Linked DNA regions of Rhinolophus ferrumequinum. The protein of the gene in region 2 purifies or fractionates together with the protein of the main gene of each other region. This does not show direct contact. Links are inferred from orthologs where the notes say so. Each region holds a gene or a part of one and is shown on either strand. Other genes may lie near its edges.

Region 1 (10,803 bases), on a different chromosome or scaffold from region 2:
TGGCCCATGTGGGAATCGAACCGGCAGCCTTCGGCGTTAGGAGCACAGAGCTCCAACTGCCTAAGCCACCGGACCAACCTCCTTAAATCAATTCTTTTTTAATTGAAATATTATAAGTGAAATTTTAAATATGTCACAGTTTAATTTTTATAAAAAACGTACAGTAATGTGTATGTTAAAATTAAATCTCCTTTGATAGAAAAATGATACCACTCACAAGATACCTGAACTGTTTTCCACAGAGGGCTTAATTTTCACTTATGTATTTCCCCATCTCCACTTAAGATTGTTATTCTGCATTTCTGAGACAGCTGCTTAAGCTCTTCTGTAACCAGTTTAATTCTGACTAGTGCTTAACCCAGAACCTCCATTCTATTGGGCCAAACCCCAGTACTTCCTCCAGAGCTCATTCTGATCCTGTATTATTCTGCTGACTCATATCAAATTGATTCATCTTTATCTTTTGCAACTCTCTCCTCCATTGAAGTCCTTCCCGATTGCTATAATGGTCCTTTTCTTCTTCCAACAGGTTTAAGCTTGTATCACATAATTTAGCATATACTTACAGACTTTTGTTTTGTGACACTTCTCCAAACTGTCACCAGGCAATGGTGTTACACAAGTGGTGTTCCTCAGAACTTACAATCATAATAAACAACACCAAAAATGGATTCATGGACTCAATCCATGCAGGTTGATTCAGGTCTAGGATAGTGGGCTGTGAAAAATCTTCTCAGGGAAGTCTTTGTGAAGCATAGTTGAGAACTACTATACTAGAATAATCCTTCTAAAGCACAACAGGGAGTATATCAACCCCTTACTCAAAAACTCAACGGTTCCTTGGTTGCCCACCTACCGGGTCTTATATTAATTTTTGCTCCAAAAGACGCATTAGAGCTGATTGTCTGGCTAGGTCTTATTTTCAGGGAAACACAGTAACAAAATGTAGCCTCCATAGCTGTGCATTAGATTCTTCACAACCTGGCCCCAATTTACCTGTCTTGCTTCATCTCTCACCTCTCCTATATAAATAAAGTCAGGTCCAACTATATGTTTTGTCATTCTCTAAATGGCCTTCTCTTGTTTCCACATTATCTCTTTTGTCTGGGGTGCCGTATTTTAGTTATTTATGGTCTAGAACCTAGATGAATTGCCACCTGCCCCTCAATTCTTTATCCAATCACCCACTCCAGCCAAATAAAAAGTTTCTCTTTCCTCTGTAGTCACTCAGTCATATATGCCTTATCACCACAGTGTCTTGATAAAGGGATCCTGCTTTGCACATTTCTATATGCCTCAACCACTTAACATTGTATCCACTTAGCACGTGGTAGGTGATTGATTCCTAGGTGATGCTAGAAAAAAATATAATGATTTTTCTTACCTATAGTTCTCACAGCTTCCTTGTGATCAACTCTGAAGAGATTGATTCGACCATCTTCTCCGACGGTGACAATGTCTGGATTGCTGCACACAACCCCCGTACATGGCGCACTGCTGCAGGAAGGACTGCCCAGACCGGTGTGGTGGTGAGCTGCTGTCCACTGCTGGCTGACGGACAGTGTCTAGGTGTCAGAAATGACAATATGATTAATCAAAGCAAAGCTCTAAAAACATAGCACTTTTTCCCAACTAAAGAGTATTTTAAAATTCCGTCTCATACCCTTCTAGCAAAAGGACAACTCTCTCCTTTTTCCTTTTTATTTCCAAGTATTAAAGCCTAGAAACTACTTCCATCAAAGCTCTGTATACACTGGATTAGATTCAAAAGACCATTGTTCAATAATAGGCCAATCTTATCTCAAACTAAAGAAACGGTTTTGAGGTATCAGGTAGTTGTGTGTTCAAAAGCAACTTTAAATTCTTAAGGGAATTAGCCTACATCTAAGAAATAAATCTCTATAATGCTTTCTAAAGGATTCCATTAATACTTAATAAGACCCGGGTCTTATATTTTCTAGACATGCCTATTAGCAACGTGACCTTTATTAATTCCAAAGTCTAAATAAGCACTCTCTTCTAGCAACTTAAAACTATTACAAGTGGGACTACCTATTTTAAAGGAATGCCCTCAACACTATGCTCTGAAGGTCAGTACTCTTAGGCTTCAGCACACAGGAAAGGCACTGAAAAAATGTCAAGTCTTCACACAGAGTATCCTCTCTTCTAATTAAAACCCAGGTTCTATCCACAGAAGCAAAGTAGCTGTTCCTGTTTTCTCTCATGATACCTTAACTAAAAGGTGCTCTTTCTTCAAAGACCAAAATGGGAACTTAAAACAGAATTACAGGAAAATTCCTTGCCAGAATACTAGATTGTTAAGTCTAGACTCTAGACTAACAGAATTTAAGAGATAACCAAATTCAATACAAGCACACACAAACACGGTTCTAAAATTAGTCTACTAAAAGTTGGGTAATATAACGATGTTTTTCCCCTCCATATTTTGAGACTATATAATTTTATTATTTGTGTCATTATTAAAAACAGTCTTTTTAAAGCCTTCCTAAAAATAATGAAAATACAAATTAATTAAGTTTTCAAACAAAATTTCTTTACCTGGTTATTTGGACGGTAAAGGAAAACTGTTACACATCCTGTTGATGAAGCAGCTACCATTCTTTCCTGGTCAAAAAACTAAACAGAAAATTCATGCTTGTTATGGATTGAGAAATACCAGTAAAGTGGAAGCCCATTTGTTTAACTTAATTAGTAGTAATAATAGTTTTAAAATGCAAAGAGCCTATAAATGCTAAGCAAATAAAATGTGATGACAGACCTGAAAGTAAAAATTCCAATACCAATATAAGTATTTTTGTGAAGGAAAAAAAATAACAATTTTTTTCCCTAAACTCATTCCCCTAAAACTGATTTAGTTAATTCTGGACCACTATCATAAAGGTTTAGAAAAGTAAGGTGAGGCAAGTTACTATTGAAGAAAACACAGTGACTCTGAAGTCACACATACCAGGATTTGAAAACTTAATTTCAGTCCCACCACTTACTATTGGCTTTGAGACTTTGGCCAAGTTAAATTGTTTTAAGTCTAGGTAAACCTTTAAAAGGAGAGAACTAATCCCTACTTAGGGAGTTGTGAGAATTCAAAGAGCAAAACACATGTAAAGTAACTCGAACAGTATTTGTCACACAGCACTTGCTCAAAAGATCTTAATCTCAGTTTTCTCATTGATAAAACAGAGATAACAATACTTGATTCACAAGCATGCAATGAGAATTATGTGAAGCTCCCCAAATAGTGCTTGGCATACAGTAGATGGTCAACTAAAAAAAAAAAAAACAAAAAAAACACAAAAAACAAACAAACAAAAAAACCCTAGGATTCAAAAACTAGGGTTAAACCCACATCGCCTTCCCCACTCCTGATTCTAACATTAAGTGGCTATATGATGTTCAAAAATCATAACCTATAGAGAACTCAGTTTCCTGTAGACCCAGGAAAATGTAAGGTCCTTTACATCTCTAAATGTATGAGTGTTTTTTAAAAGTTAGCTTTTGGATATTATACATCCAAAAAAGATGTTACTTACTTGTAAATCCATAACATCACCATGGTGTCTGGTACCGCACAGTAACTGATGGTCTCCTTCAAACCCTCCATCAGAGTCCAAGTTCCCAAAATCTCCAATAGACCACAGTGAAACATAATTTTCCTGTAAAGCAGCAAGTTTTACCTTGAGATGAAATATTACGTTAAACTTTCGGAAATTAACATTTGTATTGCCTACAGGCAACCTTGCTTTGAAAGCATCTCAGAATAGTGGTGACAGTGTGGTGATAGTTTAAAACACGAGATTCGAGGCTAAGGCACATACCATCGATGGCTGGGGTACAGGTCAACCGAGCCCGCGACAGGGACTCGGGGGATGGAGAAAAGTGAGAGGATGTAGAAGGCAAGAGAATTCGCGCGCAGGCGGCCGGGGGGTCGCAGGGGCTTCCCGGGCGGGGAACAAAGAGGGGGAGGAGACAGGGGCTTCCTGGCCCGGGAACGGAGATACCTCATTGTCCCAAGAGCCCGTAGCGAAGATCTCCGCGGTCTGCAGACTTCCCGGAGGTACCGGTCGCCAGCGGGTTTTGCTGATTTTCTGAGACACGTACTTAGCATAAAACTCCTCCATGCCGAAATTAACCGCGGCGGAGACAGCAAAAAGCACAGCGCGCGCCTCTTAGTCCCGCCCCCTCCCGCGGAGCTCTGATTGGACTGGACCTTACGGGACGGACGGTGGCTGCGGAGAGCCAATTCTCTGCGGTCGGCAATGAGGGGACCACCAGCTCCCAAGCAGAAGGAAGCTTTGACGCTCTTCCTTACCCACGCGTTTTTTAACAGAGGCAACAAGTGTGCTGGTCCTGGTACTGTGGGACCTGCTCCTAATCTTCAAAATCAGTTTAGGAACACTGACACAATGCATTCATCCAATAACTGTGCAATGTTAAAACAAATTTAAGAGAAACCACCAAGTAGCCGCACCTAAACATTCAGCTTTGCATTTCACTGTGCATAGATTATTCAAATCCTTAAATTCTCATGGAAGTGCACGCCATTAACACACCAACTTATTATTCTAAACCTCTCCCTCTGTCTCCCAAACAAATTCTTTGCTTCAAAGTTCTTAACGCACACTTGCAAAGCCTGGAGTTGGAATGCTGAAGACTCCAGTTCTAGTTTTCATGACCATTGCCCAACCTTCTTCAATTGACTTATATATGTATTAACAATTAAGTTTGATATGTAACATCGACAGCCCAGGAATCAGTGCTGTAGGTTCTTCCAGTGCTCTTGGTTACACCTGTAATAATACCCGTATAGTCTTCTTTACTTCTTGGGATCCTACCCATCTTTCAAGGACCAGTTCCTTCCTGTTATCTTTTCCTGATTATTCCAGCCCGTGATCTTAAATAAACATAGCACTTTAGACCCCTAATTTTGGCCACTAATAGCACTTAAGTTTTGTCCTCTGTTGCTAGTTTTATTTTGATGCTGATCTCCCCAATTAGAATGTAAATCCTATTGCATACATAAGAGGTGTGACTTATTCATCTTTCTAAAAATCTCCTTTATACTGTATTCATAATGATGTGTTGGTTGTCAGCTTTAGAGAGTTATCAGGTCTTATTGAGGATTGAGGCTTTTTTTAAATGGACTACAATAGGAAACTGCAGAGAGATGAAATGGAAAACTTAATCCCACACTGACAGTTTTATTCCTACTATTGAAGTAAAGAACACGGTTTTGAGTGTGGTTTCATTTATGGTCACAGAATTCCAGAAAATACGTAACATATTTTTTGTATTGGAAGTAGGCTGAGTATCACATTTGACATCTGGAAAGAACTAGAATTTGAAAATTGCTGCTGGCGCATAATGTTTTGACATAACTTTTTCTTCCTTAAAATTTTATTGGACTGGATGATTGGATTCTGTCAGTATCAGTTCTGATTAGGAGTCAGCAAGTTGAATGCGACAAGCAATGCTCCCTTTCAGCTGCTCAGTCTTGCAGAGATGACAGCAATAGTACTGATGTCCAGTTTAACGGTACCATTTGCGAGGTTTAATTTGCTGAAAGCTCACACTTGTGTTAGAGTAATACATTGGATATAGATAGAATACTGTGGTATTTTTAACCAATTGCATTGTTCTGGTGAGTAAAGCATTCCTCGCCCCCACATGTCATGTTATTCTTCTACTCTCTGAATTTGTACTTTAGAATTGAGAACAAACCAGGGGCTGCGAAGTCTCTCTAACCGAACACCGATGTAGTTGTCATAAAGCCAGAGGCTGCCGAACTCGGGTTAGAGAGGGCCTTTGCTCTCTGGTGCTATTAATATTATTCAGGCTGCACCAGAAAGCTCTGACTCTAACCGACCTAAATATTAGTCAACAGGGTTGGGTGAGGCAGGACGGAGGAAGCCCACCGTCTAATAATCTGGGCAGCTATAGGAGCAGACCCGCCGCTCGCAACAGCTGACCCAACGGAGACTGCGGAGCTACCGGCAGCGGCGGAACCAGATCGTCCAGACGCGACGTCACAGAAAGGCACCGCTATCCTGCAACCGCGCTCGGCGACCAGAGCCTCAGCCGGGCACGCGACCCACCGCAGCCGGGCCCACGCCGCCTGGCCGCAGGGCGAACCGAACAAGGAGGCGGTTTGCAGCCCGAGGCCTCATAAGGGGGCACGGAGCGGCGGGGGCGGCGGCGGCGGCGGCGCTAACTCTGCCTGGCCTCTCCGCCGGTCTCCGGCAGCCGCAGCAGCCACCAACGGGGGCGGCTGGACTCGGGGCCACCCCCGCCTCCGGCCCCACCCAGCCGCACCCGAGGCCGCCAGGCGTCACAGAGCGCATGCGTGCCGCGGGGGATGCCGGGAGCGCGCAGTGGCGGCAGCGGCGGCGACGGCAGTCACAGCGGCGGCAACAGCGGGGACGCCAGCGGGCCGGTGACCGTGTGGGAGGTGGTCTCACTCTTGGGGAAGCTGCTGGGCACCGTCGCCGCGCTGAAGGTGGTTCTGTACCTGCTCCGGGTGTGCTTAGCGATGGCCTGGAAATCCGGCGGCGCCAGCCACTCGGAGCTAATCCACAATCTCTGCAGTAAGTGCCACCCCCGCTGGGTGTGGGGCAACTGGGGCAGGCCAGGCCTGGACAGAGTCCCCCGGGCTGTCCGGAGCGTTCTCTCGCCCCTCCTCCCCCGTGTCTGCTGGAGGGCTTCGGCCCAGGGTTGCACCAGCAGTCCCGAACGGCATGCGCTTGCGATCGCGTCCCCCGGGACCTGTCACTCATTGGCTACGTGGACTGGAAGGGGAGAGAAAGAGCCCGCGGCCGCTGCTGGTGGGGCAGGGGCAGGCGTCTCCCCAGAGACCTGGGAGGAGAGGGCGCGGCACAGGTGGTGGGGCTGTCACTCGAGTCCTTCTCCTGGACGTCCGGGTCCGGCGGGCGAGGGGCGTGCACTCGGGGTGGGGAGATGTTGGCTAGGCCTCCTAGAGTCTGGTCTGGAACTGAGGGGTCCACCCTGGCCCCCCGCGTCTTCTCACCTCCGTCGTCTTCGTGATCGACCTCGCTGCGAGCGCTCTCTCCTATTCTGCCTCCCCCGCCCTCCGTTTTTTCCTCTGGAGGGAGATGCCACCGTCTGATACAGGCGAGGGGAGGGAGAGGAAGATGAGAGTATTGTCGTTGCGGATGCTGGGAGAAATTTCTGGGGCGGCTGTCCAGTGGAAAGCTTCGTGGGGGGCGGAGGAAGAAATAATCGGGATGCTGTTCCTGAGAGACTTGTGTTTAAGGAGCCTTTAGAGGTCCTGGAATCCAACGAACGAGTATGTGTGTGTGTGTGTGTGTGTGTGTGTGTGTGTGTGTGTGTGTGTGTCTAATCTAACTTTTTTCAGGACTGCCATATGCGTTAAAAGCCTTGCGTGGAAGTTTCTTTATATCCTTCTCTTGAGTTATTGTATTCCTTCCTCTGATGATAATTTTAGGGCGGGATGAGTGCTGTGTCACTTTCTTTTTTTAAATCGAAGTGTAGTGTCGCGGTGTGGTGGGGAAACCAGGATTGCAGCCCATAATACTCTGGTCAGAATTTATAGCACTCTCTTTGCCACTAACTGCAAATAAGCATACCTTGCCACGTGATATTTTTAATTGTCATAGGTTATTTAGCTTTTCATGTGTCTGTCATATTTCCTAATCCAATTGGTAACCTCTGGGACTTTTAAAAATTACCTGTGAATCCTCTCAAAGAAATTAATACTCATTCCTTTTTTTTTCCGTAAATGCCAATTAAATGTACGTTATATGCTTGGATCTGTGCTAGGAATATTCCGATGAGTTAGAGAAATAGCACTATCTGGCGCATGGTTAGTACTTAATATTAGTCATTTGACGTTTTTTAAAACAGTATTTGATACTTGGAAATCATGGCCTTAGTGTTTAGTAATGAAGAATATTTAGATTTTAAAATTCTGTCAAGCATTGCCAGTATTCACTTTATTGAAGGATATTTGATTGGAAATGGGCATTTATATGCTGAGACAGCATTATTAGGTGCCATTTAGGTTCCCCATGGATTGCACATAAGCTCAATACGTTGTAAGTACTTTTATAAAATTTCTTACAATGATCTAGTGTCTGCTGTTGCAGTATATACACCTGAAACATTCTACACTCGAATTGTGATTAGGTAATTTTCCACCGGTAGGTTATCTTAGTAGACACTTGGCTGTGGCAGAAGCTTGTAATCAATCAGGCTCTTAAAGTCTCTCCTTTTGGGGCCAAATTTATAGTAAGCCAAGACTAGATCTTTTCCCACTTTAACGTATTGCATTACTATTCTTAGCTGAAACTCCTAAGGATGTTGTTCTATCAGCGAATCTGATAAGAAATATTTAATGTGCATGTTGATATTGTAGATATTTAGTTTTATAGTAGATCTATGGTAAGAGGAAATTAGAGTACTCATATTGTTTAGCGTCTTTTGTAACCCTTTTGTAACTTTAGTTTCAACTTCTTGTTAAATTCATTCCAGCTAATAGGTGTCATTTTTATTTATTAGTTTATTATAAAAGTAATATTTGCTCATGTAAACATTTCAATTGGCACAAAATTTGAAAATTGCTCTTTTTCCTGGTGGTTCCACTGGAAGCTTTCCTGAAGGCTTCTAATTGAGTCTTTAGAAAAAGATTAAAATGTGATGATGTTGATGTTGAAGAAAAAAGGATCTGCAAACCTGAAGAGGAAGCAAATTATGGTTTTAATTTTTTTTTAAAGAAATGAAGTTCATAATTGGTTTCATTTTAATATTGTAATTGTTGAAAATATCTACTGTAGATTTCTTTTATAAATCACAATAGAAGCATGATTATGTATGATTTCGTAGTTGATATACCGTTTATAGATTATTTTAGACTATAATGGTACATCTCCTAATATCTCATAGCTTATGTTGTGATGACAACTGCTCTTTAATAACTTAAAACAGTGGTCTAAAAGTGGAGCATATTTGATCACCTGGAGAGCTGGTTGAAACTGATTAAGACAGATTGCTGAGGCTCCCAAGAATTTGTACAGTAGACCCTTGAACAACACGGGTTTGAACATCATGGGTCAATTTATAAATGGATTTTTTTCAATAAATATACAGGCAGCCCTTTGTATCCCTGATTGGTCTTCAGCAGATTCAACCAACCCGTGGTTGAAAACAGTATTTTTAATCAGCGGTTGGGAATCCGCGGATGCGGCATGCTGACTGAATGCATTGTTCTTTGCCATTTTATATATGGGACTTAAGCAGAGGATCCATGGATTTTGGTATCTGAATGGGTTTCTGGAATTAATCCCCCGTGGATACCAAGGGACAACTGTAGTTAAATATTTGGAGTCATTAGCTATACCTGGGTTTTCGACTGTGTGGGAGTGTTGTTAGTGCCCCTAACCCCCATGTTGTTGATGGGTCAACTGTATTTCTAGTAAGTTCCTAAATAATGCTGCTGCTGGTCCAGGGACCACATTTTGAGAATCACTAGCATAGAGAATTGAAAATTTTAAGGTTAAACTCTGCCAGTGTTTCAGCTGAATCAGTTTTATGCTTTTAAATAAAATTTTGGGGAAAAATCTATAGCAGTCTTGCCCAATAGAGTTCTCTGTAATGTCTGTATCTGTGATGTCTCAATATGGTAGCCACTAACTGCAGGTGGCATTGAGCATTTGAAATGTGATTAGTACAATTGAGGAACTGGGTTTTTGTGCTATTTAAACTAACAAATATCTACATATAACTAATGTTACCATATTGGACAGTGCAGGTCTTCAGAAATGAAAAATACAGTTATTCTGTAATTACAGGCTGATAATGTGCTCATGAAACAGATTAATTTAAAACAACTGTGAACCTGCTTAATCTAGGGAACGTGACAATTTAAATAATGTTTATATTACGGTTTATTTTCTTTTTTTCTTTTTATTTTTTTAAAGATTTTGTTGGGGAAGGGGAACAGGACTTTATTGGAGAACAGTGTGTACTTCCAGGATTTTTTCCAAATCAAGTTGTTGTCCTTTCAGTCTTAGTTGTGGAGGGCACAGCTCAGCTCCAGGTCCAGTTGCCGTTGTTAGTTGCAGGGGGCACAGCCCACCATCCCTTGCAGGAGTCGAACCGGCAACCTTGTGGTTGAGAGGATGCATTCCAACCAACTGAGCCATTCTGGAGCTCAGCGGCAGCTCAGCTCAAGGTGCTGTGTTCAATCTTAGTTGCAGGGGGCGGAGCCCACCATCCCTTGAGGGAGTTGAGGAGTCAAACTGGCAACCCTGTGGTTGAGAGCCCACTGGCCCATGTGGGAATTGAACTGGCAACCTTTCGGCGTTAACAGCATGGAGCTCCAACCACGTGAACCACCGGGCTAGCCCTAGAGTTTATTTTCTATTTTTATGGGGACAATTTCAAGCTATGGTAAAATTGAGGAAAAGGGTGGGGCAGGAGTGAATGAGGTTGAGAGTGGTGGTCTCCTAAAGCAGGGATGTCCAAACCAGAAAGTTTGTGGAAGGTTAACTCTTAACTAACACACTTCAAATGCTGTATTGGCTACTTAAAACAATGCTAACAATTGTTCTTTTACCTATTTTTATTTGTAAAAAAATTCCACTACCCTAATACATCAGTTATTTCTACTTATATATTTTTTTGTATCCTTGATTGTGTCATTTTGTGTATATAATGTATATAGAATTGCCATTCAGTCAACTGATATTTGACTTTTCTATATGTCAGGCACTAGGGATTCAGCAGTGACAAATCAAACAGCCATTCTTTCTT
Region 2 (10,934 bases):
CTTAACAAAAGTCCTCTACACGTTTGGATATTTCTTACATCAACATCTGAAAAGACAATGTGCTCAATCAATGGCTTCCCACTATTATCACCACAACCACGTTCTTCCCTTGAAGCACATCAGCTTCCCATTCAGTCCCTCCATTATCTTTTTTCTTGTATCTGAAGTCTGTATAACACATCCAATCTTCCAGGGCACATACAGTTTACACTAATTTTTTTTCCTCCCCTGGTTCATGAAGTTCTTGAAATTTAACATTATTTTTCTATCTTTTTTGCTGCCTAATCTGTCTAGATCAAACTCATATCTTGCAGACTCCCCCTAATATACATTCAAAGCTCTGTTTTGCTTCACATCACTGATGTTTAATTACTTGGCAAGATCACTGCTACTTATGCATAAAATGTTTGTCAGAATTTTATTCTGATTGAGATCTGATACATCCTGAGCAGGAAGCCAAATTGAATAAAAAAAATCATTTATGGCTTATTTTGGAATATATATATGTCATATTTATGATTAAAACATATATACATGGTTTTATAAAATATATATAATTATACATATAAAACACAAATGACTGAAATATATATAGTCATATGACTAAAATATTGCCTTGTACAACAATGTAAATGTTTTTAATGCCACTGAACTGCATACTTAAAAATGGTTAAAATGGTAAATTTTGTTGTGTATATATGACTGCAATTTTTAAAAATAAATAAATAAAAGAGCTGGTTGACATAAAGGGGGGAAAAAGAATAATACATTGGCAACCAAAGACTGATATCAATTCACAAGATGTAACAGTTCTACCTCACAATAGATTTTAAGTAAGAATATCTTAAAGGCCAAATTTTATTTGGTAACTACAATAGTGATTTAACGTATTTATGTATTCCATGTTATGAACAATTAAGTATGTTTGAATAGGTAAGTTTACATGATTTTTTTTTTTTAATTGGGGAATGTTGGGGAACAGTGTGTTTTTCCAGGGCCCAACAGCTCCAAGTCAAGTCGTTGTCATTTAATCTTCAATCTAGTTGTGGAGGGCGCAGCTCAGCTCCAAGTCCAGTTGCTGTTTTCAATCTTTAGTTGCAGGGGGCGCAGCCCACCAACCCATGCGGGAATCGAACCGGCAACCTTATTGTTAAGAGCTCGCACTCTAACCAACTGCTCCATCTGGCCGCCCCTACATGATTTTTTTATAAGTGAATTAATTTCCTTTCCCCCCAATATATAGCTCCCACTTCCATGCACAGTGCCTCATACATAGTTGAAACTTAATAAATATTTGTGAATGGAGGAGTAAAATATACTTCAAGATTATTTCCACTGAACCTCTTTAAATGGAAAACAAAAGGAGACTTTGCAATCATATTTATATTCATCAATATAAAGTATTAATTATTTCGAGCTCTTCATATAGGCAGGAAAAAATGCTTGTGCTATTATTGCAGCATCACAGAAAAAAAGGATTGAAATTGGATCAATTCGATCTGTTACTAATGCCTCTATCACTATGTCACAAGTTTGATGTTGTCAAATGAATTGATAATTATTATAAATACAAATTAGATCATTTTTGAACACATGTATAATATGCCTAGTACTATTCTAAGGCTTTACACATAGTAACTCATTAAATCCTCATAACAACCTTATGATCTAGTACTATTGTTACACCCAAGAAGAAACTAAGGCACACACTTGCACCCAAGGTCACGTACGTAGTTCGTTAAGTGGTGGAACTAGGATGTGACCTCCGGCAATCAAGCTCTGGAGTCTGAGCTATTGACCACTTTGCTCTATTGTTATTTTTATATTTCGTCCTCATAGCTATCCTAAGAGAATATTCTCATTTACAGAGGTGAGGTTTATAACAGTCAAATAGCTTATAAACTGCAGAACTGAGATTCAAACCTGGCAAGCCTGATTTCCAAGACTGTGCTCTTAACCTCCAGGCAATATTGTTTCCTGAGCCAAGCCATGTTTTAAAACCTGCGTATTGTGGTTCATTCATGGTTCAGCCAAAAACTGATATTTCTGTTCAATTCATGATTCATTGTTATTTACTATACTTTTGGCTTGTGGTTCAATTTAGTTCAAATCTATGACCTGAAGTAAATTACTAATCTTTCTGTAATTCTACTTCTTTAGATAAAAATAATATTAAATTACAATAGCTTGTTTGCAATGTTTTGAGCTCAAAAAACAAAACTGCAACAACAACAAAAAACAACAACAAAAACAACAACAAAAAACACCATCTCATAGCTGAACAAGCTGTTAAACTCTAAGTACTTCCTTTTGTTTTATATAACTGCGGTGTATCCTACAACTGTATTAGAATCCTTCTAATTGTCTTTTGGACATGACAAAAACTGTTTAAGCACCTTCCATAATTTAATTCACTAGACTCATATCTGACTCATTGGAATTCTTAATGAATTCCTTAAGACATTTGTTTGAATTTCAATTGGGCCATGCTATGAAAATAAATTGTCTTAAATAAAACACCTCACAGTGAACTGGACAATAAAAACAAAATCATCCAGTCTCACCAAAGACAACCACTATCAACATTTGGTATGATCTTTGTACAAATATATTTTTAAAAAGACTTGTGTTTTTTTTTTTTTTAGAGCACTTTTAGGTTCACAGTAAAATTGAGAAGGTTTAGAGATGTCCCATATACCCCCTCTCCGCACACATACACAGCCTCTGCCATTATCAACATCTCCCACCAGAGTGGGACATTCGTTATAAGAGATGACTTACATTTACATACCATAATCACTCAAAGTCCATGGTTTACAAAACGCTTCGCTCTTGGTGTTGCACATTCTATGGGTATGAACATATATGGCATGTGTTCACCGTTATAGCATCATACGGAGTATTTTTACTGCCCTATCTGCCTATTCATCCCTTCATCATCCTCACTCCACCCCCTGCTTCAGTATGTCTTACGCATTTTATATTGTTTCTGAGCATACTGATATATATGACAACTTGCTCCCTTCATTTAAAGCAAACACTTCCAAGTTACTAAAACTCTCTCTAAACATCCTTGTAATGACTGCATAGCAGGCAATGAGGTGGGCATTGGTTTATCCCTTTTTTCTTCCAGTCTGTAGGAGTGGAGAATATATGCCAAATGGCCACAGAATGTTGGGAATTATAGTTGAAAATGGGTAGAATATAGAATTTGAGGTAGAGCCATTGCCAGATAGGCAAATCTCCCGAAGGCTGAGTCATTTACATTTACAATGCAACCAAAACAAGTTTGGCTGGGAAGGGAACAGAGAAAAGGCAACAGTTAGAAAGGAGTGCCAGGTGAAAGGATGCTTTCTTTTCAGAGAGGAGAGAGGTCAGGCAGATTTTGAAACTGAGACAAACTGACCCCATATGCCATCTGATGTGATTAAGTAAGTACTCAACAATACCTATGTAGTACGGGGGAGCCAAAAAATGTATACATGTGACTTGTATTCAGCTTTTGATATCAGTATATATTGAGTATTATAATTTTAATCCAGTGTTTTCTTAAAATGTATATACTGTACATTGTTTCGGCACCCTCTGTATTCCTGCACCTGTCCCTCCAAATAGTTTTTTAAAATGCTTACTGGGAGAAAACATCCAAATTGAGGAATATTTTGCAAAAATTGGTTTGAACTCTTGGGGAAAAAAAAAGTGGGGACTATGCTAAACTAAAGTAGAACAAAAAGACATGACAACTAAATATATAATGCTCTACTGGATCCTGTATTGGAGCAGAGCTGTTATAAAGAGCATTATTAAGAGAATTGGGGAAATTTGAATATGTTAATTGTGATATTTTGTCAATGTGAACAGTTCTGAGTGTTTATTTTATTGTGTTAGGTAGGAGAATGTCTTGTCCTTGATTTAGGAGATGCATTCTGAAGTACTTAGGGGTGACGTGTCTAGATGTCTTCCAAATGGTTCAGGCAAAAAACAAAAGAGAGAGAGAAAACACTTATTGGGAGATGTTAGCAATTAGTCAAGAGTATATTAATACCTATTTTACTATTTTTACAGCTTTTCTGTGGGTTTGACATTTTTTCAAAATAAAGGGTCAGGGAGGCGGGGAAAGCAATGATGTTTGATTTCCTCAGCTGTTGGTGGTGAGGGAGAGGAAACAGTGGTTTGAGTATTTGGGGATGGCTGCTTCCTGGCCTTTAGTTCCTGAGCAGCTGTTCTTTGCCAAGCTTTCCTCCAGCTTCTGTGAGCTCCTGATAGGTTTCTAGTAAAATCCCTTTTGCTTAAGTTAACTATAGTGAGTTTCTCTCATTGAAACCGAGAACCCTAAAAATAAAGCTAGAATGTATGCAATATGCACCATACAAGTTTGTGCCACGCATTTTAAAAGAAATCAAATGAATGAATATATTTTGAAATATTTTAGGGTTGTATGGTGTTCATGCCCACTAATTGAGTGTGTCAAAAATGAAGACCAGTGCACTTTTCAACAAGTGTTCCCTTATGGCATATGAACTGAACATTCTGTTAATCCTTTGCCCAAAACTGCTCTTCCGCTTTATTGTGTGCCTTATGGTCAATCACTTCAAGTCCATTACATGAAAAAAAAAAAAAAACACAACACATTGGAATTCAATTGCCAGGAAACATATGGCAAGAACCTGAACCACTGGCTCACTTAGAATAAACTTGCCCTGGCACTGACAAAAATCATTAGGATCACATTTCATTTTCCATAAAAGAACAAGTCCACTTTTATACAAGAAAATTAGGAGATGGGAAGAATGAGAGAGCACCACTGCGGGTCTCGTCAAGTAAGATTATTGAACGAGGAGAAAATTAACACTTCGGTGACTACTATGTGCAGTGTACATTTGACATCTTGATTTTACTCCTCAAAAGAACTCGGTGATAAAGGCGTTATTTCCATTCCACAGATGAGGAATCTGCGGTGGCAGGGAGTTCGAACCTAATGGAGACCAAAGCCACGTGTTTTTAAAAAACGTCATGTTGTCTCAGCAGGAATAAAGTATGACGTTTCCCAGGATTAGAGCAGACTGTAAATGCCTACGGCAAAACATCGACTAATTCCTTCAGGGCCAGGATGTACTACTTTTTGTCTATATGGCACTTTGAAATAGAGGATAATACCATCACCTTTCCTGCTTTTTAAGACAGGTGATCCTGTTTTCCTTACTAGGGAAACATACCGAGTAAAGAATAGGCATATGGAAAACAATTTCAAAACCTGTAGGGGGTTTACAGTACAATTCAGTGAGTACTGTGAGAGAGAGGGACGAACCCCCGAGGTGTAGGGCAGAGTCTAAACGTCTGAAACCCAAATCCAGGCTCTTTGTCACAGGACATGACTTCACATTTTTTTCTAAACTATCAGTATACGTCAAATTTCCCAGTAAATAGTCCCAGGATAACCCGGCGCCTGGACCACGCCCACAAATGCCAGTCAGGCAAAGTGGCGGCCGCGCATCAAGGCTAAACCCGGCCCGGCCCCGCCCCCTGCCCGGTCCCGCCCCCGGCCCCGCCCCGCCCTACGCCACAAGCTGGCACGCCGTCGCGCCTGCGCAGACCGGACATGCGCTTGGAGGAAGTTGCGCCGGCGCTCCTTGGGAAAGTTGTTTCTTCCCCGACGACACTTCTTTTCTCCACGGCAACTGAACGAGGACTGTTTCCGGGTCGAAGGGTTTGCTTCCGGAGAGCGGGAAGGCTGAAACGCGGTGGCTAAACTGGATCCCAATTTACAAGGTTCCCGGTGGAGAAGGCTGTAGCCATGAACAGGTCAGTTCAGGTGGTGACTGCTGAGCTTGGAAACTTGTCCCTCCTGCTTGTTGGCGGAACGAAACAAGTGGAACTCGACTTCCAGAGGAAGCCAGGGAAGGCCCGGGTGCTGACTCGAGGACTTTCCCGGGCTGGGAGATTCTGCAGCTGATGGAAGAAAGGCCGCCAGGTTGGGAGAGGGATACGGATAATGATAATCCCTTGCGTTCCTACGGAGCTCTGTCATTGTTCTGCCATTTCGCGGAACATTTTTCGCTTCTGGGGTGGGCGGGGTAGGAGGTGGCCCGGCATTCGAGATGCTAGAGTGACCTGCTCGAGATCCCAAAGCCAGTCAGTGAGGCAACTGGGAATCTCATCCCAGACTTGCTGATTACAAGTTCCAGCGATCAGATAGTTACTGAGTTGAGTTCTTCCTAGGACCCTGGTACTGCGCTGGCCGCCTGCGACACAGATGCCTTATTCAAGGTTCTTGGCCTCGGGGTAGTCGCTGTGTAGTGGAGGAGACGATCAGGCAGTTTTCTACTGCCCTGTGGGAAAGGAAATGAAACAATTAAGTCTCCCTGTTACGGGAGGTATCAGGAAAACCTCTCAAAGGAGGTAATTTTCTAGTTGGTCTTTGAATAATAATAGCTAACATTGAGTACCTTAAGCACTTTGTATCGTTAGCTAATCTTCGTAACAATCCTGTGAGGATAGGTACTCTTTTCATAGATAACACTGGGGTTAAAAGAGGTTAAGAAGCTTGGTCAAAGTTGGGAAACTATTAATAATAAATAGAACCAAGTTGCCAGCCTGTAGGGAAGCTTTTCAGTGAGTAAGTGTTCACCAGGTGGACCAAGGGGGCAAATGTCCGCCTCTAAAAGAAGCAACGTGTACAGAGATGTAAGGATATGCCAAGTGCATGCTTTGTGTAGCTGAATGGTCAAATGTATGTTTGTATGGTATGGTGATGTTTGTAGCTGAATATAAGCGTGAACCGGTAAGCTGAGGTCAGATTGTACAAACCATGGTAGGAAATTTGGACTTGATTCTGTAGGCCAGAGGTAGCTACCTATCTGAAGGTTTTAAGTGGAGAAGCATATTAGATTTTTCTTTTAAAATACAGGTCTCTTAATTCACACAATTTATTTTATAGCCCTTGGGCTGAGAATGACAGGAGATCTGAAGCATTGTGACTACAAAGTGCTGAGACAGGAGACATCCTTAGTGTATCCTAGAGAGAAATAACTTGAAATATTATTTTCTCCAGTTTACTAGAATTCTTTTTTTACTTAGCCTCCCATCTCACCAGTTAAATAAAGCAATAAATTTCTTCATAGTTTCCATGGTTTGAAGTATTTTGGAAACCACAGAAAATCCTTTTTAAGAGATATAATCCAGTAATTTTAGGGAACTCCTCAATCCAACTGAGGAAAAATTTACCTTCATGAAGCAATTATCTAAAACAGTAATATAGATTCCAAGTGTTGAAATAATTGCAAAGGAGAAAATAACAGTGAGTGCTAGAAAGTCTTAAAGAAGTCTGTGCAGGTAAAATTTAAGCAGGACTTTGAGGGATAAGTAGGATTTGGAGCCAGAGGGCACTGTCAACAAAAAAAGCAAAGACATGGCTACTGGAATGATCTGTACCTTGACTGACTTGGGTCCTTTGCTCCAGTCCTGATGATGGAGTTCTTTGCAAGTGCTACATTCTCGTTTCATTCACGTGGGCTTGATTATGCTTTTAGGAGTGGCTTTGGAGAGATGTTATCCCCTGTGATCCGGGAGGCAGAGGTGACACGGACTGCACGGAAACAGAGTGCTCAAAAAAGAGTTTTAAGTATCCTTTGCATTTTAAGCATCATTATAAAAATTGCAGAGTGTTTGGGATCAGGATTATAGAATTTTCTTTTTATGAGAGACATTAAACACTAGCTATAATAATAAAATGCTGCAGAAATTATTTTTTTGACTCCCCAGATAATGTTATTTGGTAAATACAATGCTGAAATTCAGTGAGATTAGATTTATATTTTCCTGAAAATAAGGGTGCTCGATTTTACTGCTATTATATTGTAGTTAGCTTTTGTGGAGGTTAGATAGCCTTTTTAAATTTGAAATCTGACTAGGAACTCTTAGTGTAATGTGTAGTAATCTTAAGACATATCTGAGAAAGTAAGTGATGTAATTATTTACTCTTTGCATAGGAAAAAATGGTAGCCATAAAATACCTTGTCCTTTAAAAATGTATCACATATTTTGTATAGTGTAAATGTGGGTAATTCTAACTTTAATGGTGTCTTTTTTTTTTTTTTTTTTGGATGTCTTTTCTACATGGAAAACTTTTCTTAACTTCCAATAGTTCGGGCATCCCAAGATGAAATTTTTGCTAATACTACACCAAGAAACCAGGTTCTCCCTCGAACTCCCAGCTCATTTCGACCGCCTTGTAAGATTTTTTTAAAGCATGTAGTAATAATAATAATAATAATAGTAATAATAGCAGCTAACACTTATACACATAATAAATATATTTGGTTGAAACATTAGTAATTAAGAATAAATAATAATGATTGCATTTACTATTTGTTGAACTCTTACCATGTGTAAGGCACTAATTTACATACACAATAACTGGGACATAGGTATTATCTCTATTTTGCCAAAACTGAAAGTGAAACTAAGAAGTTAATTAATGCTGATAACATAACTAAGTATGTAAGTAATAGAACCAAAATTTAAATAATGATCTGCTTACTTCAAAACTCGTGCCCTCTATTCTATACTGCCTCTTCAGTGTGCTATTTTATAAAATTAAAATACGAAGAATCTATTGACTCATTAGTGTCCTTTTTTACTGCTCAGTTATGTTATAATGAAAGCATATCTATTTGTAGTAAAATTTTTCCTGATGGGCTCAGTAGTACCAAAATAAGTTAAATTTTCATATCATGGAAATGTTAATATTTAACATGTTTATTTGATTAGAATCTAAATAATTGACAACTGAAAATTATTTGTTCTTCATATTGTTTGTTTGTTCTGTTTTCATGATCAATGCTCATGCACTCTGGATGAGTTTTTTACTAACCTTTTATTTGTAGTTACTCCACCAAACCGAAGCTTACTCAGGCAGCCAGATATTTCCAGCATTCTTGGAACAGGAGTGAGGTCTCCCCGGTTTACACAGTCTTCACTGTTCTTGGGAAATCTGTCTATGGTATGTAGAAAAATGGGGCTGAAATTTTCTCCCTTTTTGTGAAAGTGTCCTATGACACTCTTTAAGAATCACTGTGGTACGGTATTTAAAATAGCAGAAGAAATGTCACATAAACTGTGATGTAGAATGATTTGACTTAGGTGTTTAAATACTCTATAGAAAAAAAAAGAATTGGATCTCACTGAAAAGAAGAAAAAAGAAGAGTTTTATTGGAATAGTAGAGTATTATGGCACATTTAGTTCCAAAAACAATATAAAAATGATTTTTCGGTATTTGGCTTTGTGCTTATTAAAAAGGCATAGAAGTTTTACATGCACTTGAAATTGTCTAAATTAGATGTTTTCTGAAGAGTGGTTTTGCATGTTAAGCCTCTCTTTATCTTAGAAGGTTAACTCAATCTTTAATATATTATTATATTGTGGATTTTTAGAGTGTTAATATCTAATAATGATCTAGTCATTGAACAATTTTACTCTACTTATGAAACTGGTTTGTTTTGGCAAGGTTTATCTTGTACTTAAAAATATGAGTGAATTGACTGCCCCTGGGTTTAAGCAAGAGATGATTTTTATTGTTTACTGCTTCAGAATTGCAAGATTAATAGTAAAGTTGTTACTCTCTTAAAGGATGAAATAGTATGTATTAATTATTATAAAACATTTGGAAATTACTTTGTAGTCCAAGGTATATTTTTGATTTGTTTTGCTAATTTTAATATTAGTTGTAAGTGGTGGTCTTGGATATTTAGGTTTCCCTGAAGGAATAAAATTACCTGTGACATTAATTTTGCCATATGTCCATCTACTAAGATTTGATTGTGGAGCAAAGTATTTTTCTGAATGCAAAATGCCATTGCTGTGTAAGATTTTTCAGTTTTATTCTTATATTAATGATAATGATAAATACCCAGAAGGGAGTGAACTATTAATCAATCTAAGAGCTGAAGCTAAGTTCTCCCCAGCCCACAGTTACTTCCTCATGAATATATAGGGTACTAGCACCCATGTTTAGCATTTTTTTCTTGGAGAGACTGATTTAAAGGTACATTTTTGTTGTTACTCATACCTGAATTTTAAAGGTGAATTTTAAAAAGCTTTTTATTAAAAATAGAAGAACAGAATAAGCCCCCATGTGCTCATTACACAGTTTCAACAGTTACCAACATACATGGCTGACCTTGTTTCATCTGAACCCACAGCATTTCCCCTATATTACTTTACAACTCCCAGACTTCATAACCATTTTATCCAGAAATACTTATGGACCTCTGAGACATAAGGACAGTTTCTGTAACGTAAGCACAATACAGACATGTCTCATTTTATTGTGCTTCGCAGATAATGCCTTGTTTTTTTTTTTCACAAATTGATGGCAAGACTCTCCACCAGCAAAAAAAATGTTTTTGTTTGTTGATTCAAATCAGGAACCAAGTAAGATCAACACATTGTATTTACTTGATATGTCTCTTAAGTCTTTTAATCCCTAAGTTTCTTCCTCATCATCTGTTTTTTTGTTTTGTTTTGGTTTTTTAAGGAGGGGGCAGCTCACAGTGGCCCATGCGGGGATCGAACTGGCAACTTTGGTGTTACCAGCACCACGCTCGAAATAACTGAGCTAACCGGCCACCCCGTCATCTTTTTTTTTTTTTTAATTTTATTGGGGAATATTGGGGGACAGTGTGTTTCTCCCGGGCCCATCAGCTCCAAATAGTCTTTCAATCTAGTTGTAGAGGGTGCAGCTCACTGGCCCATGTGGGAATTGAACCAGCAACCCTGTTATAACCCTGTTATTAAGCTCACGCTCTAACCAACTGAGCCATCGGCTGCCCCGTCATCTGTTTGTTTTTTGTTTTTTTTAATTGCCACTTATTTGTTGAAGAAACTGGGTTATTTGTCCAGTGCAATTTCCCCAAAGTGAAGAATTGATGTGAAC

Evidence for each region.
Region 1: the proteins of NUP107 (region 2) and NUP43 purify together in Homo sapiens (affinity purification with mass spectrometry; 8 studies listed by BioGRID and IntAct, counting the BioPlex papers as one, with this or other methods). This does not show direct contact. The link is inferred for Rhinolophus ferrumequinum from reciprocal best matches to the Homo sapiens genes NUP107 and NUP43.

What each region holds. Positions count from the first base shown.
Region 1 is NC_046286.1:93,110,704-93,121,506, forward strand, and holds the start of NUP43 (nucleoporin Nup43), read right to left. Parts: upstream 4,177-10,803; 5' UTR 4,137-4,176; coding exon 4,017-4,136; intron 3,672-4,016; coding exon 3,549-3,671; intron 2,638-3,548; coding exon 2,560-2,637; intron 1,566-2,559; coding exon 1,385-1,565; intron 1-1,384. Other genes in the region: PCMT1 (protein-L-isoaspartate(D-aspartate) O-methyltransferase), read left to right, coding at 6,371-6,599. UniProt on the Homo sapiens protein: Component of the Nup107-160 subcomplex of the nuclear pore complex (NPC). The Nup107-160 subcomplex is required for the assembly of a functional NPC.
Region 2 is NC_046293.1:64,885,418-64,896,351, forward strand, and holds the start of NUP107 (nuclear pore complex protein Nup107), read left to right. Parts: upstream 1-5,620; 5' UTR 5,621-5,794; coding exon 5,795-5,802; intron 5,803-7,529; coding exon 7,530-7,621; intron 7,622-8,143; coding exon 8,144-8,230; intron 8,231-8,860; coding exon of another isoform or gene 8,861-8,885; coding exon 8,886-9,001; intron 9,002-10,934. UniProt on the Homo sapiens protein: Plays a role in the nuclear pore complex (NPC) assembly and/or maintenance. Required for the assembly of peripheral proteins into the NPC. May anchor NUP62 to the NPC. Involved in nephrogenesis.